3 linked regions of the Alligator mississippiensis genome follow. The protein of the gene in region 2 purifies or fractionates together with the protein of the main gene of each other region. This does not show direct contact. Links are inferred from orthologs where the notes say so. Each region holds a gene or a part of one and is shown on either strand. Other genes may lie near its edges.

What was found.
Region 1: the proteins of EPC1 (region 2) and MRGBP purify together in Homo sapiens (affinity purification with mass spectrometry; 6 studies listed by BioGRID and IntAct, counting the BioPlex papers as one, with this or other methods). This does not show direct contact. The link is inferred for Alligator mississippiensis from reciprocal best matches to the Homo sapiens genes EPC1 and MRGBP.
Region 3: the proteins of EPC1 (region 2) and histone H2A.Z purify together in Homo sapiens (affinity purification with mass spectrometry; 4 studies listed by BioGRID and IntAct, with this or other methods). This does not show direct contact. The link is inferred for Alligator mississippiensis from reciprocal best matches to the Homo sapiens genes EPC1 and H2AZ1.

What each region holds. Positions count from the first base shown.
Region 1 is NC_081832.1:4,881,757-4,891,821, forward strand, and holds the start of MRGBP (MRG/MORF4L-binding protein), read right to left. Parts: upstream 4,447-10,065; 5' UTR 4,432-4,446; coding exon 4,269-4,431; intron 3,926-4,268; exon of another isoform or gene 3,882-3,925; coding exon of another isoform or gene 3,815-3,881; intron 1,680-3,814; coding exon 1,558-1,679; intron 1,067-1,557; coding exon 985-1,066; intron 1-984.
Region 2 is NC_081828.1:193,083,560-193,093,617, forward strand, and holds the start of EPC1 (enhancer of polycomb homolog 1), read right to left. Parts: upstream 4,428-10,058; 5' UTR 4,102-4,427; coding exon 3,949-4,101; intron 1-3,948. UniProt on the Homo sapiens protein: Component of the NuA4 histone acetyltransferase (HAT) complex, a multiprotein complex involved in transcriptional activation of select genes principally by acetylation of nucleosomal histones H4 and H2A.
Region 3 is NC_081825.1:161,262,214-161,272,282, forward strand, and holds the start of histone H2A.Z, read right to left. Parts: upstream 4,435-10,069; 5' UTR 4,306-4,434; coding exon 4,303-4,305; intron 3,868-4,302; coding exon 3,790-3,867; intron 2,679-3,789; coding exon 2,565-2,678; intron 1-2,564. UniProt on the Homo sapiens protein: Variant histone H2A which replaces conventional H2A in a subset of nucleosomes. Nucleosomes wrap and compact DNA into chromatin, limiting DNA accessibility to the cellular machineries which require DNA as a template.

The sequences.
Region 1 (10,065 bases), on a different chromosome or scaffold from region 2:
TTAAAAATGACACACAAATAAAATGTAAAAACCTAACAATAAAAATGGAATAATTATACCAAATACCCAGATACCACAGGTGTTTTGTAAGGCATACAGGCAAAGAGCAAGTGTCTTTTAGGGTGCTTGTAGACATGCTTCGGGAGGCAGGGGGAGATTGGGGGGGGAGGGGGGGGTGGAACTTTAATTAGTGCAGCTCTTAGAGCACCCGGAGTGTCACATGCATCAGCGTCCCTGCGCTGAATAAAGGTGGTGGGGCATTTTGAACTAAAGCTCATCAAACAAGCTTTAGTTTAAAGTGCTCCGCTACCATTTTTCAGCGTGGGGACACTGATCCACATGGCACCACGCTGAAGTCTGCTGAAATGTGGTAATAACCATGCTCCAGCAGACTCAATTAACGCGCTGTAATTACAGCATGTTGGAGCAGCCTTCCTACACATGTATAGGAGCCCTAAGTGCTTAAAAAGTAATTGTACTGCTGTTCGATTGCCTAATAATTCTTATCCAGTAAGGATTTTACTACAGGCGTACAATGGATTTTCATCTGCTATGTTGTCGAAGTCTTTTTTTCAAGCACAACAATAATAAAATTATAACCAAAGTATTAATGAGGAAGATTCTGTCCTGACAACAGCTGCGATGAAGTGCAGCCAAGAAGTGCAAAACACACCCAAATATATTGTTGATTCCCTGGATTTATTTCCAAAGGGCCAAATTCCTCTCTCATCTCTGCACCCAGGTCCCACTGAAGTAAGTGAAAGACCTAATTCATACCCAAAGTCTCTAACCTGAATCTGCTGGTACCAAATCAAGGTAGCAAAGATCCTATCTACATTTCACTTATGGATATACTCCATGACCCTTAACATCACAATACAGTGATTTGGCTTCAGGCTGGTACATTCATCCTGCTTTCACTCCTTTTGGAGTTCAAATAGATTTCCTGTTTTGAGACTAATAAACACTGGTATCAAATCTCACCTTCTTTCACCTCTTGAATAATTTCCTCAGGCAGGATGAAGTTTTTCTCAGAATTCGGGAAAGGGAGAATCTCAGATTCATGCTTAAAAAGGAAAAAAAAAAAATCTGTAAAGGATTTTCTTAAAATATCAGTCCGGAAGTTTTCTAACGCACACACGTCATTTCATATGCAAGAGAAGTTTAAATCATTCATAAGTGGGAGGTCAGGAGTCTCGTAATAGTGACATCAAGATGCCTGTATGGCAATAATGCCCTGGGCCCTGCATACTAACTCTGTGCAAGTGCGTAGACGTACTAACAGGGGTAATGTTAAGTATGAACCGATGACTTGCAAGATCGGGTTGTAAGGGCCAAAAATCTTCCAGAGAACTCCATGAAGATGTGACACCAAAAATAACGGGCTGGGTCCTCTCCTCCTGTAACATTTTACACAGGGAAAACTCCAGTGGATTTAGTCCCAATTTCCGCCGTGACACAAGATTCAGGCCTTTTGACCAAGACACTTGTAAGAAAGCTAGTGAAGCCTACAGAAGAAAAATCAGTATTCCCCCTACGCCGAGCTTCAATACTCACAAGTGCTTGCATGTCGTACATAGTGCTTAGATGGTCCCAAATCACTTTGGACGAAATCTGACGTCCGATATTTTGACTGAATTTGTCTCGGATACAAATCATGTGGAAGTGGCGATTCACACCTGAAGGAAGGAAGAAGTCTGAGTGAGCGGCACTATTCACTTAGGTTTACACGCGGTGATCACATCACAGCGTAATTCATACTGAACTACGCCGGGCTAACCGTAAAATGCCAGGTTAAAATGCCCCCCCCCCTTGGTATTATTTATATACTTATATACATATAGGGCCATATTTTTACACATTTATATCTATATTGATATACTTATAGCCCCACATTTTTATACATTTATAACTATATTGATATACGTACAGGCCCACATTTTTATACATTTATATCTATATTTATATAGTTATAGGCTTATATTTTTATACATTTATAACTATACTGATATACGTACAGGCCCACATTTTTATACATTTATATCTATATTTATATAGTTATAGGCTTATATTTTTATACATTTATAACTATACTGATATACGTACAGGCCCACATTTTTATACATTTATATCTATATTTATATAGTTATAGGCTTATATTTTTATACATTTATAACTATATCTATATACATATAGGCCCACATTTTTATACATTTATAACTATATTGATATACGTATAGGCCCACATTTTTATACATTTATATCTATATTTATATACGTATAGGCCCACATTTTTATACATTTATAACTATATTGATATACGTATAGGCCTATATTTTTATACATTTATATCTATATTTATATACGTATAGGCCTATATTTTTATACATTTATATCTATATTGATAGACGTATAGGCCCACATTTTTATACATTTATATCTATATTGATAGACGTATAGGCCTATATTTTTATACATTTATATCTATATTGATAGACGTATAGGCCCACATTTTTATACATTTATATCTATATTGATAGACGTATAGGCCTATATTTTTATACATTTATATCTATATTGATAGACGTATAGGCCCACATTTTTATACATTTATATCTATATTGATAGACGTATAGGCCTATATTTTTATACATTTATATCTATATTGATAGACGTATAGGCCCACATTTTTATACATTTATAACTATATTGATATACGTATAGGCCCATATTTTTATACATTTATATCTATATTGATATACGTATAGGCCCATATTTTTATACATTTATATCTATATTGATATACGTATAGGCCCACATTTTTCTACATTTATAACTATATTGATATACATATAGGCCCACATTTTTCTACATTTATAACTATATTTATATACGTATAGGCCCACATTTTTATACATTTATAACTATATTTATATACATATAGGCCCACATTTTTATACATTTATAACTATATTTATATACATATAGGCCCACATTTTTATACATTTATAACTATATATACACCTATAGGCTTATATTTTTATACATTTATATCTATATTGATATACGTATAGGCCCACATTTTTATACATTTATAACTATATTGATATACGTATAGGCCCACATTTTTCTACATTTATATCTATATTGATATACGTATAGGCCCACATTTTTCTACATTTATAACTATATTTATATACGTATAGGCCCACATTTTTCTACATTTATAACTATATTTATATACATATAGGCCCACATTTTTATACATTTATAACTATATTTATATACATATAGGCCCACATTTTTATACATTTATAACTATATATACACCTATAGGCTTATATTTTTATACATTTATATCTATATTGATATACGTATAGGCCCACATTTTTATACATTTATAACTATATTGATATACGTATAGGCCCACATTTTTATACATTTATATCTATATTGATATACGTATAGGCCCACATTTTTCTACATTTATAACTATATTGATATACTTATAAATGTATACTTATAAGGATCAACAGGGCTCTCCTCGACTCGTGCAAACCAGTAGTTTGGAAAGACTGGTTATCCAAGGGTATTTACTCAAATAAACACATTTCTGGGTCTTCTTGCTTCTTCCTCCCAACCCCTAGGCAGCAACGCCCGATGCCCCAGGCCGCGCCGCGCCGTCTCTAGACCTACAGAAGCGGCTCTCAAGGTTTTTAAACGCAAGACGCCGCTTAGAAAACGCCAGCTTTTGGCTTTTACTCAGGTTTTTTAAATTTTTAAATACATAATAAAAGCGCAGAGCGGCTCTCACACTTTTTCAGACTCGCGGCGCCCCACAACAGACCCGAAGACCCCTTTGGAAAACGACAGCTCTTCATTTTCACTCATGATTTGACTTCGGCAACATCCCGGAGCAATTCTCCTGTTGCAAAGAGGTCACAAATGTGGGTCTGAAGGCTTGTCCTGTGTATCACCTCTGGGGGAATCGTGCCGGCACCCCGACACGATCCCAAGGGGCTGCAACACCCTGGCTGAGAAGCATCATGCTGGGATTTTGATTTATCATATTTATAATTACTTTTTTAGGGGTTTTTTGTGAATGGTCTTTTGGCACTGAGCACCCCCCCCCGCGTCCCCGCGCCCGGTGGAGGCTGCCCTCGCTGCTGATGAGCGGTGGGTCCATCCTGACGGTGCCCGCCCGCCGCGCGCCTTCCCCGGCTGGCGCCGCTACGCGAGCCCGAGGCTCCGCTGCGGCCTGCGCTCACCCACGGGCTTGTGGCCCAGCATGGCGTGGAAGAGGCAGACCTCCACCTCGGGGCTCCACACCACCGCCGCCTCCTCGGCCGCCGCGCCGGCCTCCGGCCCCGCTCCCCCCGCCGCTGCCGGCGCCGGGGGCTTCTCCGCCGAGCCGCCCTCCGCCTCCCCCATGGCGCCCGGCCCGGCCCGGCCCGGCCCGGCCCGCCACGACAGGCCCCGGCGCCCCCTGGCGCCCGCCCGCCACAGGCCGCGCGCGCCTCACCCGGGCCTGCACCGGGCCGCCAGCGCACGCGAGTGCGGGGGGTTTGCACTAGCAAACGTGGTGTGTGCCCGCGCACACCCACACCCACGGCAAGGGGCACGCTCGGACACGGGAGGCGTTGACTGGCGACCAACGGCGCTTTTAACGACGCTCGTACACGGACACCTTGACTCGCGACGGACGGCAATTAGGACGCTCATAAACGGACACCGTGACGTCAGGTTTGACTTGCGACGAACCGTGAATAGACACTTTGACGTCAGTCTCGCCTTGCGATGAACGGCGCTCATAAATGGACACCGTGACGTCAGGTTTGACTTGCGATGAACGGAGCTTACAACATTAATGAATAACATCAGTCTTGACTTGCGATGAACGGCACTTGGGACATTCGAAAGCGGACACCGTGACGTCAGTCTCGACTTGCGACGAACGGCACTTCTGACACGTGTACGTGGACACCTTGACGTCAGCCAGGACTTGTGATGAACGGCAATTAGGACACTCGAAAACGGACACCTTAACGTCAGTTTTGACTTGTGACGAATGGCACTTACAACGTTCATGAATAGACACCTTAACGTCAGTCTCGACTTGCAATGAACGGCACTTGGGACATTCAAAAGCGGACACCGTGACGTCAGTCTCGACTTGCGACGAACGGCACTTCTGACACGTGTACGTGGACACCTTGACGTCAGCCAGGACTTGTGACGAACGGCAATTAGGACACTCGAAAACGGACACCTTAACGTCAGTTTTGACTTGTGACGAATGGCACTTACAACGTTCATGAATAGACACCTTAACGTCAGTCTTGACTTGTGACGAATGGCACTTGGGACGTTCGAAAGCGGACACCGTGCACTTCTGCGACAAACGGCACTTCTGACACGTGTACGTGGACACCTTGACGTCAGCCAGGACTTGTAACGAATGGCGCTTATGACGTTCATAAATAGACACCTTAACATCAGTCTCAACTTGCGATGAGCAGCACTTAGGACGTTCGAAAACGGACACCATGATGTCAGTCTCGACTTGCGATGAACGGCAATTAGGACACTCGAAAACGGACACCTTGATGTCAGGTTTGACTTGTGACGGACGGCGCTTACAACGTTCGTGAATAGACACCTTTACGTCAGTCTCGACTTGCGATGAACGGCACTTGGGATGTTCAAAAGTGGACACCGTGACGTCAGTCTTGACTTGCGACAAACAGCACTTCTGACACGTGTACGTGGACACCTTGACGTCAGCCAGGACTTGTAATGAACGGCGCTTATGATGTTCATGAATAGAAACCTTAACATCAGTCTCAACTTGCGATGAGTGGCACTTAGGACGTTCGAAAATGGACACCGTGATGTCAGTCTCGACTTGCGATGAGCGGCAATTAGGACACTCGAAAACGGACACCTTGACGTTAGGTTTGACTTGCGACGAACGGCACCTACAATGTTCGTGAATAGACACCTTTACGTCAGTCTCGACTTGTAATGAACGGCACTTGGGACGTTCAAAAGCGGACACCGTGACATCAGGCTCGACTTGCGACAAACGGCACTTCTGACACGTGTACGTGGACACCTTGACGTCAGCCAGGACTTGTAATGAACGGCGCTTATGATGTTCATGAATAGACACCTTAACATCAGTCTCAACTTGCAATGAGCGGCACTTAGGACATTCGAAAATGGACACCATGATGTCATCCAGGACTTGCGATGAATGGCAATTAGGACCCTCAGAAACAGACACCGTGATGTCAGTTTTGACGTGTGACGAACGGCGCTTACAAAGTTCGTGAATAGACACCTTAATGTCAGTCTCGACTTGTGATGAACGGCACTTGGGATGTTCGAAAGCGGACACCGTGACGTCAGTCTCGACTTGCGACAAACGGCACTTCTGATACTTGTACATGGACACCTTGATGTCAGCCAGGACTTGCGACGAACGGCAATTAGGACGCTCAAAAACAGACACCGTGACGTCAGTTTTGACTTGCAACGAACGGCGCTTACCACATTCGTGAATAGACACCTTAACGTCAGTCTCAACTTGTGATGAATGGCACTTGGGATGTTCGAAAGCGGACACCGTGACGTCAGTCTCGACTTGCGACAAACGGCACTTCTGATACTTGTACATGGACACCTTGATGTCAGCCAGGACTTGCGACGAACGGCAATTAGGACGCTCAAAAACAGACACCGTGACGTCAGTTTTGACTTGTGACAAACAGCACTTCTGACACTCGCGCATGGACACCTTGACGTTAGCCAGGACTTGTGACGAACATTGCTTACGATGTTCATGAATAGACTCCTTAACATCAGTCTCAACTTGCAATGAACAGCATTTAGGACATTTGAAAACGGACATCATGATGTCAGTCTTGACTTGAGACAAACGGCACTCATAACTGGACACCTTGACGTCACTTTTGACTTGCGACGAATGGTACTTATGACGTTTGTAAATAGACACTTTGACATCAGTCTCGACTTGTGATGAACGGGACTTGGGACATTCGAAAACGGACACCGGGACATCAGTCTCGACTTGCAATAAATGGCACTTCTGACACTTGTATGTGGACACCTTGATGTCAGCCAAAACTCACGACAAACGGCACTTAAGACATTTGAAAACGGACACCTTGACATCAGTTTTGACTTGCAATGAACGGCAGTTCTGACATTCGAAAATAGACACCGTGATGTTGGTTTCGACTGGCGACGAACGGCATGTAGGACGTTCAAAAACAGACACCTTGGTGGCAGTCGGGACTTGCAATGAACGGCACTTACAATGTTCATAAATAGACACCTCAATGTCAGTCTTGACTTGCGACGAACGGCACTTACAGCTTTTGTGAACATTCGGACATTTGAAAACAGACACCGTGACATCAGTCTTGACTTGTGATGAACGGCACTTACAACGTTTATGAACGGACCCCTTGACATCAATTTTGACTTGCAACAAACGGCACTTCTGACGTTTGTACGTGGACGCTTTTGGACGCCGGGTTTGACTTGACAACGCTGGACCCAACGCCACGTCGGTGAAGGAGTTCATGGCATTGCCATTCTCCCCAGAGAACATCTGTGCCAACTTCCTGGGATGCTTTCTTTAAGAAAGCAGATGGGAGTCCTGGCAAAGCTGTGGACAAGACTCCTGAGAAGACTCCCAACAAGAGCCCTTTGAAAGGTCCCGCCAAGAGCCCTTCAAAAGGCCCAACAAAGTCACCTCAAAGACGTCCTTGCAAATCAATAGGATTGCTATTTACAATATAAATACATTACTGTAGCTATATGACTCATCTATAATTGGTTGAGCACAACATTCTGGGTTATTCTGGTGAAAACAGGGTTTCGGACCTGGGTTCAGGAACCAATCCCCCATTTATAACATTGCTCCTATGGGAACATTAGTTCCGAGTTAGCAGGACCAGGCCCAACTACATCATCCCAGCCAAGGCTTTGTCTAGTTGGGTCTTCAAAACCTCCAAGGATGGAGATCCCACCACCTCTCTGGGTAACCTGCTGTAGTGTTTTATATTACCTTCCTTGTGAGAAATTTCTTCCTACTATCCATCCTCAACTTCCCTTGCTGCAACTTGAGCCCGTTGCTCCTTGTTGTGTCATCTGCCACCACTGAGAACAGTCCAGCTAGTTGAAGGCTGCTATTCAATCCCCCTCAGTCTTGTCTTCTGCAGACTAAATAAGCCCCGTTCCCTCAGCCTGTCCTCATAAATCATGTGCCCCAACCCCCGGACCATTTTTGTTGCATCTGCAAAGGGGAACAGCAGTCAGCATCGTCCTGTAGAAAGCAATGCCTGGTTTTCCCCCTGTTAAACTAGAAGCTCCACTCGTAAGCCGGGGCTCAGAGCTGGGTTATTCTGTTTGAGACGGAAGGAAAAGCTGGGATCTCTTTACCAGAATGTGTTAAATGCCATCTGCAGGGCTGTGAAATAGGAGCTTTTTTCCCAGGAGCAGCCAACAGCCGGCAGCAAGGCAGAACAAGGGCTAGCTGCAAGAGCCCGTGGGGGGATGTGGGATGTACACTGCAGGATCTGGGCTCCTCGCTCTGCTATCTGTCCCCAGGAGCCTGCGCCAGCTGAGCCACCATGGCAAGGTGCCTCCTGTGCACCCAGCTGCAGCGAGGGACACAACTTTGCGCCACTGCTGCCAGGTGAGCAGGCAGTGAGGCTGGTGCAGGGCTTTTGAGGGCAGGAGAGCCCTACATCCTTCCCCACCCCATGTACAAATCTGGGGAAGCACAGGCACCTCTCATGCCTCCCTGCCCAGGAGTGCATGCAGCAGAAGGGAGCTTTCCCCCTCTCCACCTCCTGGATGAGCTGCCCGCGCCTCCATCCGGCACCCGGCTGGGCTCTGCGGTCTCACATTCCTGCCCCGGGCTCCATGCATTGCCTTGGTTGGGCATCATCCTCAGCCCCAGCTGCCAGACCTGCCCCACTCCCTCTCACTGTGTGGGCCTCAATCTGCCCCCCTCCCCATAGACTTACCTTCAGGCATCTGGGAGAGATGCTCTCCACTGCTGCCTGGGGCTGTATTCCTGGACACGTGCACGTGTTCACATGCACATGTTGCCCCCTTCATCCCGTTCCCTGCAGCCCCTGGAGCTCTGCCAGCTTGTAAGGGGAAACCTGCTATTCACATGTTTTTCCATGGTGAACACAAAACCCAGATCCCTGTGTAATACTGGGAATCCAGGAAAAATGCTGTCCCAGAGTCATGCAGGCCAGGACCCAGACTTAATTTTCCCTTGTCGGGACTGTCCCACCCAATTAGGGACAGGTGGTCACCTACCCCAAATTGATTAGCTTCATTTTGTAAGGCATACAGACAACAAGCAGGTGTCTGCTAGACAAACCAGCTTTATTTTCAAGATTCCTAATAGCATCATGGGTGCTTTTAGTCTCCTTGAAAATGCCAAGGGATAGCATCCATAAAACAAGTAGTTCCCAGCATTTTTAAGGCTTCTAATAGCAGCTTTTTTGACACCTGCTTTCCTTTCACCTAGTTCTATGCAGTTAATCAGAGTACAACTATGTTCCAAAGGAGGCAATGGGGAAAAAACATGCTAAGCACTTAAACAGTTTGTGCACGTAACCAATATTTGTTACAATGCGAGCTATAGGCAAAAAAATTAAGACTGGTATTATGTCATGCAAATTAAGACAATTATACAAAATAAGGCAAAAATATGACAAATTTACCCAGTATGCAGACAAGTGGAGTACACTGTATTTCCCGTAAAGACTTAAAATTTCTGAGGAGACTGAATGGGTTCATCCACATTCAGTTCTACAAGATTGTCTATAAGCGGTAATAGGATTGCAATAGTACTTAAAGGGAGGTAGTTTGCACATGGATATTGAAAAGCCTAAGCTCCAAGGAGCTTGTGTTTTAGACAGACAAAGAGTGGATCATGAAACAAAGAAATGCCTGAAGTCACACAGGGGCAGTGCCATGCCCACTGGATCACTCCCATATGGTTTTAATTAA
Region 2 (10,058 bases):
AACAAATGCACATCTGTTAAATACGGAAAGTGGTGTAGAAACAGTCTAGATATTAGGAAGTTTATTAAAGTTAGTTAAAGGTACTGACATATCTAATTTAATTATTAAAAAAATAGTCCTAACATGATTCTGGTACAAAAATGTCTTATCCTGGCATAGCTTATTTTTGTTTCCCAAATGAGGATACGCCACCCCCAGTACAAGACTAACAAGTGTTTCTGGTTCACACAACTCTAGTCTTAGAAGAAAACTATTATACAACACAAAGCGCAGAAATGCAGGATTAAGAGAGAAAAACCCTTTGTTCCTATCCTATGTCCTTCTTCCAAGAAGACCTTAAGAAACTGTCAGGTTGAGGCTGCTGATATTTTAACTATACTCATTACCACTTTGCTTGAAAGTTGAGGGACTTCAGAAAATATGGCTTTGATTGTCTACATCTATGTTTCACAAATGTATCGTTCCCCTGTGGCAAGCTTTTTTAAAAGCACCAAAAATGTACTTTTTATATTGCACCAAAAGTATTGCTAACAAAATTAGTCTTTAAATATAAAACTGACAGATAATATTTTGACAGCACTTTGTGGTGTTACAGCAAATTTCTTGGACCATTTTTTATCAGTGTTTTGTTTGTCCAGAAAACTCTCAGAGTCAAATCTAGCCTTCAGCTCAGGAGGGAGACTTCCAGGTTTAGTATGTTCCTAAAGATCTCTAAACATCTAAAACAGTTTTCCCGTTCCAAAACGTAACTTACTGAACTTAAAACAAAAAGTACTGAATTTTTTTTGACTGACAAACTTAATTGCTACATTTTTCTTCCCAAATTTCAGCAACACCCTCCACCTCTCCAGTCATCATTTTGTATTCTATTTCCATTAAGATCCAAATTTATAATTTTGAAACAGGCGTACAAATACACTTCCATGTTATTTTTAAAAGGAAAACATCATAGAGCAGACAAAGGGATACAAACTAACCTCCCAGCGCACACACTTCAAATTTCAGACTTCTGAAATGCATGAATTTAAGAAAATCCCAACTTTTTTTTATTCCTGTTTACAATCTTTCACACACACACACACACACACACACACACACACACACTCACTCTCTCTCTCTCTCCTCTCTTGCGAATCGTTTTAGGTTCTCTAAGCAATGACTTTTACACAGTTTTCAAATAGCACAAGAACTTGTGGCTGCAAGATTAACTTGTGAGGGCATTAATCTTCAAGTATGTCATTTATCAACTAGAATTACATGACACAAAGAGCTTTCTCCTGGAAAGTCTTCTACCTCTAAACAAAGTCACTATAATTGAAGTCTTGGCTTATCAAATGGCAAGGAACATTATATTTAGTTAGGAGGATGATTTTAATCTAGTTAAGACATTAAGCTGTCAATTCTTTTTGAACAGCTGCTGTAGACACCTGGAAAAAGGCATGCAGGTCCTGATTACTAATCCTGAAAGATTAGTAATTTTTGTCTCCATGCATTCAGAACATTTTGCTAGAGTCGCATGCTATTAATAAAATTAGTCCTACTTTCCCTAATTATTTGGTGGGGTGGGGCAGATAAAAGTAAGCGGAGAAATGTGCATCAAGAACTATGAAACGGGCATTTAAATGTTCTTGAAAGGCAGTGCTTGAACATCAAGTCTCTTTGCTTTCCCTGGAGAAAAAAAAAAAATAAAAAAAAAAAAAAATGAATCACCTTCAGAAAACAGGGTACTCTTAAAAAAAAAAAAAATCAGATTTTTAAATTAAAGCACATACTTGAAGTGATGTTAAAGTACTATTAGCATATCACCACAGGTGATTGTTCACAGTGGTCAATGGTGAAGAAATGTGCACATACACACAATTTCACTTATGCCCTCTTTTCCACAACATAAAGTGGATATTCCCCCCTATGGAATTTGGAAAAACAATGAAACAGTCCACAGAATTGTCTTGCCTCTAGTCCGGGACTGCATGCTCTAAATGGTTTGGGGTTTTTTTGAAAGAAAGATAACCACAGGAAAGAAAAGTAGCAGAGAGTTTTAAGAGGGAGGGAACAGGAAGAAGAGGAAAAAAAAGTGGACACCAACTGATTTATTAAGAAGGCCCTGAAATTCTAAATGGGTTTAACCAGATGCATTTGTCAGTGACAAGTAACCTTTCTTCAGTACAACACTTTTAAGAACAGAAGCACATACAGATTGGTATTTTTGTTAAAACTGCTAGTTAGCCATTTATTTTAGAGACGTGTAAAACAAACTTATTTGCAAAATCCATGCTTCATCACATCAGAATTAAAATAGCAGCAGATTCTTTACAAACAGTAAAGTTTATGATAGTGGCTACCTGGTAACCTTGCGTGAGCCCACCTGAGCCTAAATACAACATAATACAATAGTTTTCTACCCAAAAGGCTCACATCTGTTAAGCTTACAGCAAAAAAGACAGACAAAAGATGAAAGTTTACTGATCATATACACTTCAATTAAAGTACATGTGACAGACCAATTACTATGGTAATCATAATAAAAACTTGTTTTACTTAAATTTTAATGCAAGTGGAAATCAAGATGATTACCTCACCCATCAAATTCTGAAGATCTGGATTCAAGCAAAGCTACATGACTGAAGCCACCCACAGTATCCAACCATTCTTAATGCACAAAAGTTAATCTGAGTCGGTGAAAACCACTCAATGCAAAATTGAATAATGGCTTTTACTAAAAGAAGCGTCCACGAAGCATCAGTGTCAAACATTTTCAGTAAATGTTTCTTACATTCAAGATAAGATGTTTTAGTAAGAGATAATAACGATAATTAATGTTTGTATATGATCTGGAAATGCGACAGTATAAATCCTCAAACTGTAACTTTGAGAAAATAATTCTAGCAAAGAAGAGATAAGAAAGAACTGGCATTTCACAGCTCTTTCAGAAACTAAGAGTCATTGCATAGACGTCCACAGTCAGTTTTTGAAACTGTCAATGCACAGCAGCGCGTGCAGAACGCGGCACCTAAAAACCAAGGTGAACTTCCTTCAAGTTTACAGGGACTGAATGAGCATCAGGAGCCAGCAGCACAAGCAAGAGCGTCATCCCAGACCACCACTTGAAACCAGCCCTGTCAACTTAAAATCTACTAAAATTCAGAAGTTTGTAGCAAGCGTGAGCTGCAGCCCTAATCCACGGGCCACTTCCAGGGTTCACAGTCCTGCTGCCCGTGTGGGGGAGGAAGGCACCCCCTTGTCGGGGCCCAAACCCCTCCTGCGAAGGAGAGGAATCACTGTCCCGGGGGAACCCAAAGCGACAAGAGCTGTCAAACGCACAGGGAAAAGTCAAACACGCCCCCCATCCCGAGGGTTGCCAACGACCCTTTCACACTTCACACGTGGAAAGCTCCGGTCGAGCCGCGGCGCGAGGCAGCCGGCACCTCGTCCCCGCGCTGCGCCAGGAAGCTCCAAGCCGGCGAGCGGCACAACCCCTTATGTAACGCGGCGGCGGCGCAAGGGGCGGCCGGGCCGGGCCGGGCCCGCTGCCCCACGTGGGATCTCGGGCCCTGCTCCCGCGCGCGGCTCGGCGGCGCCACCCGGCGGCAGCAGCCCGGCCCCGGCCCGGCCCAGCCCGAGGAGGGAGCGCAGACAACAAAATGGCGGCCGCCCGCTGCGTCACGTGACCCCCTTTGTGCCTTTCGGGGCCCGCGCGAGCCCCTCCGGCGGCCGCGGCCGGGGCGGGATCGGGGGCCGCCGCGGCCGGGCCCGGGGGACGGGGCGAGCGGCCGGCGCTGCCCCCCCCGCGGCAGGGCCCTGCCTCCCCCGCGCCCCGCGGGCGGGGAGAGCGGGGAGAAGATGGCGGCCATTTTGTGCTTGCGCAGAGGCGAAGGAGGGGGCCCGGCCCAGCGAAGGCAGGGTGGAGGGATGGCGGGGCCCGGCCGCGGGGTGGGGGGGAGCACGTACCGACTCCTCTTCCTTCTCCATGCCCGTGGGCATCTGCGGCACGGCGCGGTTGATGGAGGCATACTCGGCCAGGTCGGGCAGGTCCTCGCAGCGGAAGACGGGCAGCGGCTTCGACGCGTCCAGCGCCCGGGCCCGGAACGACAGTTTGCTCATGTCGGGCGGCGATGGCGGCGGCTGGCGCGGGGCGGGGGGGCGCGGGCGCGGCGGGGCGCTGCTGTTGCTGCTGCTGCTGCTGCGCGGAGCCGGCCCCGCCGAGCGCTCTCATGGAGGGACGGGGCTCCCCCGGCGGGGCGGGGCGGGGCGCGCTCCGACGCGGGGCCCGGCGGCGCCGGCTGGGCCGGGCGCTGGCTCGTCTCCTCCTCCGCCGCCGCCGCTCCGGCTCCGCTCAATACGCCACGGCCAACATGGCGGACATGAAACCTCGACTGGCCGCCGCGTTCAGCCAACCCCAGCGCCACGGCCATTCCCACACTGCATCGCGCAGGGCGCGGGCGCGGCGCCGCCCGGGGGAGGAGGGCGCGCCGCGCGGCCACGCCGAGCGCGGGCACGAGCCGGGCCGGCCCGAGCCGAGCCGAGCCGGCGGGGTGTCCCGGGGGCTCCGCGGCGCTGCGCCCCTCACGCAGCCGCCGGGAGGCAGAGCCGCGCGCACCTGAGCGCGGGGCAAGGCAGGGAGGCGCCGCCGCAGCCACCCGCGCTCCCCGCGGCCACAAATGTGAGGCGAGGCGGGTCGGGCTGCACCGACCCTGCCCCGCGCGGCCAGCACCCGGGACCCTCCCGCCACAGCCGCGGCATCCCCGGCGCAGGCCCACCAGGGTCAGGGATAGTGACAGGGGCTTCCAGCGGCAGCTGCTCGCCCGGGCCGGCCGCGGCGGGGTCCCCGGTCCCGCTCTTACCTCTGGGTGTCCTGGCGGACAGGTGAGCCGCGAAGCGTCTTGAGAAGCCGATGCGCCATTTGTGACAGGGGGAGAGGAAGAAAATGAACCTGACCGTATCCCTCCAGTAATAACGCATTACATTCAAAGCATTAAAATAAATGTTACTGCTGGGTTTAAAGGAGTCTTCCAGGCAGGTCTGGAGCCTCCTCCGCTAGCCCTCTCGGCGCTGTGGTCTGCCTGGCTTCCCGAGGCTCTCCGAGGGCTTCACAGCATCCCTGGGAGAGGTCTCGTTTTACCTGTGGGGCGGGCGGGTCACTCAGTGTGTGTGGAAATACAACACGAGCTGTAGTCACCATTCATTTCAGACAAGCGTGCGGCCTCCCGCTTCTCTCTGACCGATATTTAAATAAAGGAGGTGAACTGAAAAATATTCTATTAATTTGTGCTTTCCTGATTTAAGTTTTAGTACAGCATTAAATGATAGCTTTTACCCTGAGCTTTTAAATGCAAGTGTTCATTAACTAAAAATATTTTCTTAATTGCATAAAAAGCCAAGATTTTCCAGAACAACAAAGTAATTTGGTTTATCTAGGTCCCAAATAAGGAATCTAACAACTGGGATTATAATTCACTGTTAAATATGTTTGAATATTTGTGCTGGTTTTCTATTCAAGAGAACATATTGAAAACTTTTGACACAGTTCGACTTTTATTTGAACTATTAGAACAAGAAGGTTTATTTAATTGGACAATATTTCTAATGGGAAAAAAAAATTGGTTAGCCTTTTTCAAGTGGAAATACATAACCCCTACAATTTGCTGTAAGCAGGTGAATCCCTTTGTACGGGCATCAAAGCTAGTAAGGCTGCAGCCTGACCTATTGGTATGCAAGCCTCTGCTATAATGTATTCAATGCTTTTCTTCTAAATTTTAACTTGGACCTGTGCAATACTGTTACCAATATAAATTTAAAAATTTATAGAATGATCTCAACAAAGTCCACTGATGTGAGACTGTGCTGCAAACAAGATACCTGGCAGCTAAGTAAAAGGGTGAGCTAATAAAATGCAACTCTTTTATTCCATTAATGGAAGCAGAGAAAATGTAAATAACGTGCCACAGTGGAAAGATTGGCTCTTTGGGTTTAAATGTGAATTGTCCTCATGTTCCTTGCAGTCGCAAGGAAGTGCAGAACATGCTATAACCTGTAACATGCAGGTACGCACAGGGTCAATTAAAACATTTTTTTTGCCCCAAATTCTAGTGTTTTGCCAATAACAGCTATATCTCAGGAAAAATAACTTCCACCCCAAGCAGAAAATGTCTTGGTTCTTAAGTTACTGAAAAACATTTACCGAATATTATTATCCTTTTAAAAATAACTTTCACGATAGCCGTGATATTGGACGAAATAAGATTCCAAAATGATGCGACTACAGTTCTGAAATTCAGGATTTCTGTTCTGAACAAATTACAGGCAGGGAAATTAGGGGAGAGCTGTTCCGAGACAGCAGTTTAATACCAACCAGCCTTCAACTATCTGAAGGGCAGTTACAGAGAGGATGGAGCTAAACTGTTCTCAGTGGCGGCAGATGACAGAACAAGGAGCAATGATCTGAAGTTGCAGCAAGGGAAGTTTAGTTTGGATATTAGGAAAAACTTTTTCATGAGGAGGGTGGTGAAGCACTGGGACAGGTTACCCAGAGAGGTTGTGGACTCTCCATCCTTCATCCTTGGAGGTTTTTAAGATCCAGCTAGACAAAGCCTTGGCTGGGATGATCTAGTTGGGAATGGTCCTGCTGTGAGCAGGGGGTTGAACTAGATGACCTCCTGAGGTCCCTTCCAACCCAAATTTTCTATGATTCAGTTACGGCAGAATCAAAATAGGTTGCTGTTTGAGGATCAGTAAGAGTATAGAAAGAGAGCAGTCATTTTGGTAGTGATTATTACTATAAAGAGAGTCCGAATATCTTAAGCAATCTTTCTTAGTACTTTGTCTCCTAACAATGGCAAAAAGTAGATCCCTCTCTAGCTGCTTCCTTATAAATTCACAATTTCTTAATTTAATTATCATACAAAGAGGATACACTGCTCATCTTACTTTTCCTACTTTGTTATTCACAACCTAAAGCAAATTAAAAAGTAGCAATAAACAAACATCTGTGCCAAAAATTTACCATGTAGGAAAAAGTATTTAATCTCAGTGTGCTATACTGCTTGTTTTTAGCTAAGAAACAGTAGAAATAAAAGCAGTATAATATGTGAATTGAAAGAGAGTTTTTTTGTATTTTTGAACTAATACCTATTTTAAAATCCTTACCTCCACAACTGCCCTCATGAGGGATTCACAACTAGGATGTTGAGGCACCCTGGGGTGCCTTGAGATCCTTTCACAGGTGTCATGGCCACATAATGTTACCACTGTTAGGTTTGCAAACATGCTTCACAAGATAAACCCAGAGATTTCAAATGGCAAACCAGAGTGTTAAAAACATTCTGACCTGTTGTGGTTTTTCCAGGTTCTTTGCAGCAGAAAGAGCAATAAATAATAGGTTATTTTTTGGTAGGGAAGGACTGAGTGAGAACTAAGTAACTGCAGACATTTTCAAGGGGTTCCTTGAGTCTAAAAAAGTTAAGAACACTGGTCTCAGGAGCTTGTGGCTTTTCTGTATGGTATGGTATTTTTGTATGGCTCAAAAATCATTGTAATACTATAGTTTTCCTGCTATTCAGAAAATTAAATTACTGGTATCTTTTTCAAGAGGTTCTTTAGCAGAAGGACCAGGAACCTCTGGCACTAAGTTCTCATTTGCTTTTTCTTGCTAAAATTGAGAAATGATGCATTTGTTACTCATACCATAGCCATCTGAAATAGAAAGTCTCCCAGTGACTATGTCTGTGCAGCACTCAGAGGACCTAGATTTCAATTGTGAAATATGGGTCACTTGGAAAGTGAGTCAAAAATTTGTGAGGCACTGACAGTACTGGTTAGTAATTCTCAACCAGGGTGATGTGGATTCTCAACCAGGGTGCTCCCCTGTGAGAGGAATTAAGTACTGGCTCCTAGGGTGCTTCTACATGTGATGACATTAACACGTACACATGACGAAAATGTTACTTTGTGTGGCTTAATAGCATCACGGTGTACACATGCAAGACGTTTGGGGGGTTTAAATGACTGTATCATTGCAACCTAAACTTTGTCCAGATGTAATTTAGTTTGCAGCTTTGCAAATTGCAGTGATGCAGCTGTTAGCTCGGTCACTGGCTGCAGGCAGCCTCTGCAGGAAAAAAGGATTGGGCCCCTTGCTGCTTCTTCCTTCAGCAGGCACCTACTGAAGATAGAAGCGGCGAGGGGCCTGATCCTTTTTTTTTTTTTCCCCCAGAGGAGCTGCCAGTGGGCTAAGTAGCCCCTGAGCTTTGGGGAGAATGGGTGACCACCTGGGCCACCGCTGTGTCAGCAGCTTGCCCCGGGCCATGGAAGAGGTAGGCAGGCTCCACTGAAAAAAAGGATCAGGCTCCTCACCGTTTCTCCCTTCAGTAGATGCCTGCTGAAGGGAGAAACGTTGGGGCCTGCCCATGGCTGGGGGGCAAGCTGTCAGCAGGCTGAGCAGCCCCCGAGCTGCAAGGGGGCCTGGTCCTTCCCTCTACAGCAGCAGTGCCCTCCGGGGCCTCCCAGGTGGGCTGGGTGCTGCCCCAACTCAGAGGCAGCACCCAGCCCAATTCAACGGTTCCCCAAGCTAGAAGCCCACCGGTCGCTGCTTCCTGGGCAGGCTCAGGGAACAGTTGGACCAGGCCAGGTGCTGCCTCCGAGCTGGGGCAGCACCAGGCCTGCTAGCAGCCTGCCCAGGCAGCCCTGGGGGGTGCTGCCACCATGGAGGGAAGGACCAGGGTGCCCCCCCCTGCAGCTCAGGGACCACTCAGCCCGCTACCAGCTTGCCTCCCCTCTGCAGGCAGGCTCTGGCTCCAAGAAAAAAAGGTGCCGTAATGTGATGGCAAATTGAAACCGTTTAGTCCTCAGGGTTTTGTTTTATGCCCCACCATTTCAATGTATGGGTTATTTCAATGTACACCATTTCAAAGTATACCATTTCAATGTACAGGTTGAGGATTAAACTGCCATCATGTGTACAAGAGCCCCTACATGCCAGGCACTCTGTGCCTGTCCCGGTGTCCTTGCATCTCTCCTTGTGGGCCCTTGTATCAGCTCTGGGAGCTGGTGAATGAGCTGAAAAGCACACCCCTCACCTAATGGCAGCCCCTGTGCCAATCACCACCATGGTCCAAGCGGTACAGTCTGCTGCAGGTGGCTGGATGGCCATGGGGCTGTTTCCCTGCAAGCTCCTGGAGCTGGTGGGAGGAGCCATGGGAAACGGTGGCTCTGGGCACTAGCATTCAAGTAAGGCCACTCTGCTATGCCACGGGACTTTTGTGAGCTGTCAGGAGGTAAGCATGGTAAAGAATATCTTTAAATGGGATGCTATTAAATTACAAAAAATTATGGAGGGGTGCTCGAAGTCAAGGTTAAGAACCACTGACTGGCATAGGTATACTCTAGAGAAAAGGACAGTGAGTATTTTTCTTTGCTTCAGTGGAAATTCAAACTGTACAAGTGTTTCTAAATAGTTTTTTTGTTTAAATTATCAAATAGTGCCTACTTTTCATCTGTTCAAATCATTGTGGGAGATATTATGAATGATGAAGTAACAGGTTGCTTTTATAGTCTTTAATAAATGCTTAAAATAGCAAGGAAAAAATTAAATATTGTTTTTCTTAGTCTGGAGTTTTGCACCGGACAGAAGTAGTGGAAAGGTGACAGAAACATCAGTAATGGGTAGAACCCTGGCCAAAATTTTCACTGACAATTGGAAGAAAAACTTTTACTGGGTAGTCTGAAATATGTTTAGAATACAGGAGTCTTCATGACCTCTATCTCAGTTTTTCTGTGCATACAGGAAGCAGGCACATCCATGAATTTACTGACTCAACTATGGAGCAGTTCCCTCAGTGTTTGCTCTCATTTGCCATTGCAGTGTGATCCAACTAGAAGGTGATCAGCTTAACAAGATAGTGACTTTTAACAACATATTGGAGGCCAAAAAAAAAAATAAAAAAATTATGGAGGTAACTTCCTTTTTTTTTTTTTATAGATACAAGTTTTCTTTTAAACAGCAAAGATTGAATGAAAATTACAAAGGTGGACAAAGGCAAAAACTTGTTCTTGGAATTTGAAAT
Region 3 (10,069 bases), on a different chromosome or scaffold from region 2:
CAGAAACACCGCTTCATGACTTGGAGTCGATCCCCTATACGCTCAGCCAGATGCTGAGCTGCAGCCAAAACAGCTTTAGGGGAGCAGTATCTACTGCTGCCCAGTACAAGCCAGATGTAGACACAGCCCCACCTACTGTTTGGCAGCAAGCACACATGAGCTTCTCCCCCAACCTTTGTTCTTGAGGGCTAATGAAAGTAGTAACAGCAGCCATTGAGGCCCACAAGTTAATGACACTGGGCCAGCAAGGCTATTACTATATACAGATCCATAGCAGGTGTTGCTGGTGAAAGCTCTGGCTTATGATCAATGATGGCCACATCAGTACACCAGAAATAAGGGCAGATATTCAAAAGGCACAAGCTGCAGTGACCAACACCAAAATTCATCCTACAAAAATGTCACCACCTACCCAAAATGTAAAAGCAGGTGCTCTGTCAGCACTTGCAGCCAAGGGATCCTATGGAACTTGACCAGCACCAGGCATACTGTGATGTGTGCTCTCTCCAGCCACCTACTGGTGGAAAAGCAGCAGTGTAATCAGCCACTTTGAAGGGAGATGTGTAGAGATGTCAAACCCACAACTTCTCCATTCTAGAAGATGGAGCACAACCAGTCCCACAAGAAATACCATGTCTTGTTTATAGCTTTAGTAGTTACTTCTCCTACAGATAGGTACTCTTAATAGTGTGACTCACAGGATAGGGCTCCTTAAAAAGGGTTAAACACAGCTCTATGCCACAGCACAGATAGCCCATGTTTTGTACAATTCTGATTTAACATTGACTGTATTATGCAACATCCTTCACTCCCACACCATGGCCTCCATCAAAATGCCAACTTAACTCCCTTCCTGCTGATCCTCAAGACTCACTAAAATAGTTCACTGAAGTATTTTTAGATGAAAGCAAATTCTGATTACAGCAGAAAATCTGTTATCCTAAAACCTCAGAATACAAGTGGCAATGATTATGCAGCTTTTATTTGTCCGAGTTAAGCAAAAAAAGTTGGATTTAAATGAATAATTAAGTTTCCCTTTAAAAAAGTATGCCACTTTAAAATGAACCCTGAATTTAACACAGTATAGACTAAGGTACAAGATATAAATATAATTTAAATAAAATATTGAGTCAATAAAAAAACCCTCTGGACTTAAAGGTTGATTTTCTTCAAAGGTTTGGGGGTAGGGAAGCCATTTAACTTTTGAGGTCAAGCTTTAAAAGAAATACAGCACAATATTTCATGTATTAGGGGTTTGGCCCTGCAAGGTTATATAATGCTGGATACAAAGCATCAACGAAGTAATCACAAGTGTTTGAACCTGGCCTCTTCTAGCTGTGTACTCCTTGATCAGCATCATCTACCAGGCCCACCTAGAAGGTATCAAAACTCCTGCCTGTCTGTGTCTTTACCCGATCCAATTGGCTCAGTTCTCAGTTTATGAATATCGATGACTGTACCCATAATGGAGGCTTATTTCTCAGCTCATGGCAAAGCAACCATCTGCTCAGTAATTACCAACCCCCTGGGGCTTCTTAAGGGTTTGGGTACTTCAGTTAAACGGCCCTTCTTGGTTCCTTTGGCTATGCAGAGATGCAAGCAGACTTGAAGTTCATGCAATTCATGGTCTCCAAACTAAAATATTGTAGCCCCCTAGCCTTGTGTGCTGCAACAGCAGAAAGCATGGCTTGTTGGGACGAGGGAAAAGCTAGGGAGGGTATGGTGGATTACATCACAGGGAGAAGCACTGGTTTGGTGTTCATCTCCTGTGTGGAGGAGAAACAGGGAGGAATAAGCAGGAGTGTGAGCAAAGGACCAACACTGGGCTCAAGTGTACAAAGTGGTAGACTGGTCTTGAAATCAAGACCTAGACATTTTAGAAAGTTTTCCCCAGGGTGATCCGAAATAACTGGTTTAATTCACTAAATTGCAGTTCATGGCATACTATAACAGTTAATACTAGTGTTTAATAAATTAGTTATCCAAGTGTTAATCAAGTCTTGATAATGATTTCTATTTCCAAAACATTAAAGTTGCTTTTAAACACACAACCAACACCAAATTAAACAAGTCACCATCTTAATAAAAAAAGAGCACATTAAATCTACTGAACAACATACAATTCACATTTAGGATGCCAAAATAGTACATTCAGATTGTTAGCAATGCTGTAAGTTATACATTTAAGACCATATTGTTTATCTATCATTGGTTGATACAATAAAAACACACTGACCTACTGTAAAAACTGCAGTTAACTAAGTTTGGAACATGTGTTTCTAGGTACACAAGCTATGAAGAGAGAGTTTGAGTACCTAGGAAACATGTATACAACTTGCAACTTAATCCAGTTTTTACAGTAGGACAAGTTCTGTTAGATCAACCAATGATGATACAACCTTTCTGTAAAAAAGGAAGGAAACAAAAATACAATGGGAAACTTGATAAAATTATTTAAATTTGGGCTACTGATTTATAGCAATTTAAAGGGACTCAATTTAAGTCAATTTACCCCTTTTAAGAATATTAACTGCCTTTCCCAGTCTCTCCAACAGTATCCTTACCTCAGCTGTCAGGTACTCCAAGATAGCAGCACTGTACACAGCAGCAGTAGCTCCTACACGTCCATGGCTAGTGGTCCTGGACTTCAGATGACGGTGAATGCGGCCAACCGGGAACTGCAAGACATCAAGAGCAGGAAGAACATAGTGTAAACACCATAAAAGGTTTGGCAAATGAAAGACTGAAACCCTGCCAACAGCTACCATAAAATAAATCACAGGAAGGCCTGTTTGTTATTTGATGTAACAAAAGCTGATCAGATTTAAAGCATAGTGATTTTGAATACACTTCTTGCATGATTCCTTATCCTATAAAACAGCAATTCTCAGCTTTTTTAGCCTCAAAACAGCCCTTTTTATTTTTTCCAGAGTTTAGGAGCATCCTGGCTGAGAACTATTGAGTTAGAAGCCAACTTACACCAGGTAAGAGTGTCAAGGCAAGACCTCACCCCACTGTACCCTTTTGCCAGCATCTGCCCCCTCCCAGCCATTGATCTGTGCATGAAGGGGTAAGCACTAGGCTTCCAATGCCAGCAACTGAAGCCAGATGCACTTGCAGCCTCTCACCACGCCAGGCACATTGGGGGGGGGGGGGGGAAGGAGGGGGCAGAAAGAGAGAAACAGACAGGGGATAACTCAGGATTTAAATTGTAGTCCTCTACCTATATCTGGCCACCTGCTCATGCACTTCACATGCACACACATTGGAGCAACTGTTAGGAGCAGGGTGGCCAGTGCAAGAGCTGCCAGGCATGGGGACTAGCTACAAGTACTGCTGGACAGATTTTAGAGGTGCCCAACCCCAGCAAGGAGAAAGAGCAATTGCTCATCTTTTGGCACAGGACACATGGGTGCCACAGCCCCTTTGGAAGCATCTCATAGCACTCTGGTTGAAGACCCCTGCCATATAGTAGCAGCAGCAGCATTATGGTTCAAGCTGTTCATTCCCAGTCCAAGCTGTTACTCCTTAACTGCACTGAAACAAACAAAAAAAAACCTCTTCAAGTAATGCAAAACCTAGGCGCTGAAAATAGCACCCTCCAAAGACTAGCCTTTTAAAAATCATGACAATCAGTGGACTTCAACTGCAGCTGTTCTAACATGGAAGCCTGCTGCTCCTGAAGCAGACTGCCCCATAGCAGACAAGCAGCAAACAGAGAAAAACTCCCAAACAAAAAGGCAAAAGGCTTAAAGGACAAATAAATGGGATGAAGCCCTGCAGACTCACCTGCAGCCCAGCTCTCTGCGAGCGAGACACTGCTTTGGTCTTGGTCTTCCCAGAGTCCTTCCCAGCTTTACCACCAGCCTACAAAACAGGGAGGAAGGCGGTAGTCAGAAGCGAACTCCTACCCACTGGAGCCAGCTTCTTCCTCCTATAAGCTCACCTGGAAGCAAGTCAGTCACTCGGGTCTCAGGCAAGAACCGCCCAACAGCCCCGCGCATGCGCTCCCCGCCCAGCAGCCCGAGCCAAGGCGCCGCGCATGCGCTCTTCCCCCACGCCCAGCAGTCCGAGTCCCTTGCTAGGCGCAGGCGCTGAGCGCTCCCGCCGGCCCGCCGCGCATGCGCACCCCCTCCCCCACAGCCCAGCGGCCGGCGAGACGCGAGGGCGCCCCAACGCGTGCCAGCTTTCCAACCATTGCGCCCAGTCTCCCCATGCAGCCGCCACCACCTCCTCCCCGCCGCTGCAGCGCGGTTGAGCAACCCCCACCCCCAACCGTCCCCCGCCTCCGTGGCCTCCTACCATCGTAAGCGGCGCTGCAGCACCGCGCGGGAGAGGGAGGAAGCAGCGAGCGGCTCTCACACACAACAAGACCCCAGCAGCACCGCACACCTGTACCCGCCGCGATTCAAACTGCGCCGGCTCCCGCCTTCCCCCGGTGCTTTATAACCGCCGAACGTGCCCACATCCGGGCACCCGGATCCCACCGCCAGCCAATCGCCGCCGAGGGGGGCGTGGCGACTCTGCGGCCCAGGAGCCAATCGGAGCCCAGCCGCCGGGCGGGGAGGAGAGGGGTGGGGTGGGGCGGGAGGCTCGTGCGCCCGGGCCTCAATGGAAGGCACGCCCACACTTAAAGTGACAGGCGCGGCCCTGCGGAGCCGTCGGCTGCCTGGCGAACCCCGCGGGGCGAAGGGGGGGGGCGGTGTAGGCCCAGTGACCCGGCGCGTCGCGGCGCGAGGGCCCGCGTGCGCGCCCTGCTCCACCCCTCTGCTGGCTCCCGCGCGCCCGGCTCCGCCCGCCATTTTGTCTGGCGCTGGCGGCGCTGCCCGCGGGCACCTACAGCCTCCGAGGCCCCGCGCCCAGGCTCAGGCACAGCTACGGGCCTTTTTGCGACCCGGACACCTGCCTCTGCCCTGCCCCACCCCGTCCCACACATGGGACTTGCAAGTGCCTCCCCTCCACCCCCGGGCGGGGCTTAGGGCAGCTGCTGGGTAAGGAATTGCGGGGGTGAATCCCCCGGGGGAGATGCAGACACGTTGTCTTTTTCTGCAAGCTTTCGGACACACACGCCCTTCCTCAGGCGCAGGGAAAATTAAAGACACCCCAGGGAGAGGCACCAGAGCCTGCCCTAGGTCACTGGAGGAGTTGCAGCCCAACACCTGTACCTGGCCACCCCAACTTGTGTCCCTGCAAAGAAGGGGTCTTTGGAGGATGCAGATCTCCCGCCCCGGGTGCAGCAGGTGGGACGGGCAGACAGGTGGTGTTGCCCTCCTTGGCACGGTGACTCTCAGCCAGGGGTCGTGCAGTAGCAGCACTGCGCGTTTCATTAAAGCGACCCGGAGATTTCAAATAGGCACCCGTAGTGTCAAAAACACCCTGGCCTGCTGCAAAGGAAGGGTATTGGTAGCTATTGAGTGAGGGAGTTAGGGGTCCAGCCTTTGAATCAGAACTGCCTAGACCAGGGATCAGCAATGTTTTTGGTCACAGTGGCAAAAACACCCGCAACCTTGGCTTGAAAGGTGTTGGCGTCCCCAGGGCAGAAGGTGGGGGAGCTGCAAGGGGCCTGATCCTTGTTGTGGCGGTACCGGCAGGCCTGGCCCCTTCCCAGAGGTGTGACTGCCAAGCAAAATGACTGCTCTGATTGCCTACCCTTGGTCTAGACCTTAAATGCTGGAGGCTGCAAGGTAGGGAATCCCTGCTCATACTCAGTTTGCTCTCCCTTTTAGCATATACTTTCTGCCCCTCTGTGACGTGGGGAGGTGTGGGGGTTGTGTTATGAATGTTTCCAAGTCTAGGCCTGAATCTGCACAGGTTTCACATGCCCTTGGGTTTGTGGCTCTCCGTTTTCTTAGGCAGCAGAACCACCTAGATGTTGGGTGGGACCCTGCCTTGAGCAGTGTGACCTCCCCCCAGGAGCTTGTCGTTGTGGATCGCCAGCTAGAGGTGGTGCAAATGATGCGAGTTTTCTTGTCCCGTGCAGCATTCCCAGCCAATTCCAGGGTTTCAGTCATCAGGCTTTCCATCACTGAAGCATAATTGCCCTTGTAAAGCATACAGTGCACACGGCCTACAGGGAACTGCAGCCCTGCCTGGGAAGACCTAGGCTTGCAGACTATGCCTCCCTGCTTTCCACAGCCAGACATGATTTCACTCTTATGTGATGCTACCCCTCTGCAGAAACCTGGCAAGACAGACCTATGGTCTGACCCAGCAAATGGCAGTTCTTATGTTCTTATGGTCTTTCTGTGTTCCTTGCAGTAAAAGAATTGCTCTAGTCATGGGCGTTGCGGTGCACCCCCTGGAAAAAGGCACCACTTACACTCAGCGGCGCCTATGGGCAATCGCCGCTTGCCACCCCACTGCTGCCACCACCAGTGGCATCTGTGGGCAGTCCGCGATTCCTGCTGACTGCTGCTGCCGATGTTGACAGCAGCTGCAGGTGGTCGCCAACCCTTGGTCCGTGTTCGCCATCCTCCCCTGCTGCCAACAGTGCTGGTGGAGTCTTCAGGAGCTCTCCCACTTACTGCCACAGGCTCTTGCTGCTCTTGCCACCACACTCCTGCCACCGCCGTGCCCCCACAGCTACCGGGGGCACATGCCATTCATGGCTCTAGTACTTTTTGTTTTTCAGTCAAACAAGTGAAAGCCAAGAGCTAGCATTTCCCAAGGGTTGTGCTGAGTCTAAGAAGGTTGAAAGGTTGGACTCCACAATTCAGGAAGGACATGGAGAAGCTTGAGAGAGTCCAGAGGAGAGCCACGTGCATGATCAGAGGCCAAGAGAACAGGCCTTATGAAGGGAGGCTGAGAGCCATGGGACTCTTCATCCTGGAGAAGCACAGGCTCAGGGGTGACTTGGTGGCAGCCTATAAGTACATTAGGGGTATGCATCAGGATCTGGGAGAATGCCTGTTCAGCAAAGCGCCCCAAGGGATGACAAGGTCCAATGGTCACAAACTCCTACAAGACCATTTTAGGCTGGACATAAGGACAAAGTTCTTTACTGTATGAGCCCCCCAGGCCTGGAATAGACTCCCCCCAGACGTGGTGCAAGCACCTATTCTGAACACTTTTAAGAAACATTTGGATGCTTATCTTGCTGGGATCCTTTGACCCTAGCTGACTTCCTGCCCCTTGGGCAGGGGGCTGGGCCTGATGACCTTACGAGGTCTCTTCCAGCCCTAATGCCTATGAAATCTATGAAACCTGCTAATGATGTGGTTCTCAAACTTTCCTTGTGCTCTGTAGAGGAGGTATAGGGAACTTAACACCAGATCCTAGAGCAGAATACAGAACCAAGAGCCTAAATCCTTTACTAGATCTAGCCCTAGGTCTAGGTGCTTCTTCATATTTTTAGACACTTGAAAAACTACTAGAAATTTAACCAAGGTTGTGAAGCAGCTATACTTTCCATCCTCATGAAGAATTTCTGCTGGTAGCAAGTTTTGTTAAGCAGCAGAACATGAAAATGAAATATTTGAGCTATGCTTAAGAAGTACAAGCAGTCCCCAGCAACCATTTACTCCAAGAGCATTTTTGATTCTTTGGAATTTTTTTCATGCATCTTTGCATGATTTCAAGTCTTTACCTATTCCATGCCAAGTGGAAGAGATTCCATCAGGAGGCTTGCTTTATTATACCATAGGTTAAACCTATTTCCTTTAGATCTTGGAATTCACATTCACTGCAGGCCACCTGCACAGATTTCCAGAAAAGGGGTTTTCTTCATCTTGAAGATCTCCCATTACTGCTGGTCATTGCACAGCTGCAAAAGAGTTCTCTCCCAACACCAGTCTGCTGTATACTACATCCCCACCTTCATCCAGAACCAGGAGCAAGCCTCCCTTGGTCACTGCCAGAATATTTTAATTTTTCCAGTAGCTTGGCATATTAGGTAACAGCAGACAATGTAGGTCCAAAGTGCTACATAATAAAGCACCGATCTCATCTCCTTGACACTAGCCCTGCCTGCACAGCTTGCTTTGCAATTGCTTGTTCACGTGGGGAAGAGTTTTCAGGGAACGACTCACTTGGTAGTATGAAGCTATACACGTTATCACAAGCTGGTGCTAGTTGGCATTTGGCAAGTTAGGGAGAGGTGGCAGCATGAAAATGGTATTAAATCCTTCTCAGAAAAGTTTCTCAGCAATTGAGGATTTTGTGGCTGGCCCACAGACATCTAAATCAGAAGCTTCTATGCACCCACCTTCACATGGGGAAGGCCAGGCCACTAAAGGGCAATGGACTAGCAGACCCCCATCTTGCTGGCATAGTTCATTGAAAACTCTTGCCCTATATCAGGGTTAGGCAACGTTTTTTGGCTGGAGTGCCACAAAAAACACAATGTCTACCTTGGAAGGTGTCAGAGTGCCTACATGCCAGAGGCCAGAGCAGTTGTTTGCAGCCTCCCGGCTGCAGCCAGCCCACGGAGCCTGGTCTGCTTGCAGCCTCCCAGGCACCTGCTAGGAGCAGCCTGAGCTCTGTGGCTGGCAGCAGCTGCTTAGAGCCCAGACTGGCAGTGGTGTGCTGAGCAAAATGGCCTTGCGTGCCATGCTTGGCACGTGTGCCGGGGGTTGCTGACCCCTGCCCTATATGAATGCTCATATTTGTGACAGCTGAGTACAGTCTGCTTATTTGTCAATGGCTGCTGGGCCAGGCTGAATTTTGATATTGCTTTATGATCTCCTACTTTGATATAGTTTACTTACATCATTACGCTATTGATACCATCTGTTCATTCATCAGGCTTTCAAGTGCACAGCCTCCTTGTTTGTGCACAGCTGTCATGGTGCTATTTGCTCTATTTTGTGCCTCAAGCATATCCTTTTCATTAAGAGGGATCTAAACACTCCATTTGCCCCTGGAGTATTGGTTTATCTAATTGATTAGCTGGGTTTAAGCCTGTATAGGAGTATCCACACAGAGCATCTATCAGTTTATGTACATGTTTATTCCTGTATCAGATAAAAACAATGCTTCAATAAACATTTAAAAAAACTAGTATACCTCTGTTCAGACAAGCCCTAAGATAGCCAACAATGCTTCAGTAGGCAGACTTGTGTATTAATCAAAAAGGCACCATGTTATTCTACATCTAATTCAGGTACCCTAAGGGCTCCCCAGTGAAGAAGGAGCAAACTGCTCAGATACACAAGAATAAACAAAAATATTTCACACTGGCAATAGCAACAGCAGCTTCCCACATCCTACATGTTAATGACACATTCAAAGGGTATATTCCATGTTCCTGAAGGAATGGGTTTATAAAAACATTTTGAGAAACAATCCCTTTAGTGGGGAGAAAAATCCCTTTAAATTAGAAGGTTTACTGAGAAATAGGGAAAGTATTAAGTGTTAACTCAAATGAGTTTAAAAAGTGTTTGGATCTGTAAAGAAAGGGATTAGGCTTGATAATTGAACTTGTGTGGCCCCTGACCTCAAATATCCTCTCTCCAGCAGCAAATACCTAACTCCAAATCTCACCAAGCCACTCGGTCTTGCTACAGACCCAGATACCAGCTGTGCTCCCTCATCAACATACACCACATCGTTATTGGACCAAACAACGTGAATTATAACATCCAGGGTTCATGCACCTGCTCCTCTGCCAATGTCATAAATGCCATCACCTACTTACAATGCCCCTCTACAGTCTATGTTGGCTAGGTGGGGACATTCCTATATAAAAAAAATGAATGGATATCAGTTTGATATCAATTCCAGAAACACGCAAAAAGCACATGGCGAAATACTTTAACCTCCCTGGATATTCCATCACTGATCTCAGAGGAGCCATCCTTAAGCAATAAAACTTAAAAAAAAATTTGAACATAAATTACATAACAAGAAATCATCCATATATTGGATTGTGTTAAACATGGGCACTCACCGCCCATGAAGAAGTCCAACTACAAATATTCATGAATTGCCACTCCCATGCTTGCAGGATGTTTCCCCTGACCGTGACAATCAAGAAGACTGTGGTCCTAGGACAGGGTGTTCGCTAGTCATGATCTATCAGCCTTGACAACATATCTCTTGAGGCAGTGAACACATTCTGGAGCAGTCTCAG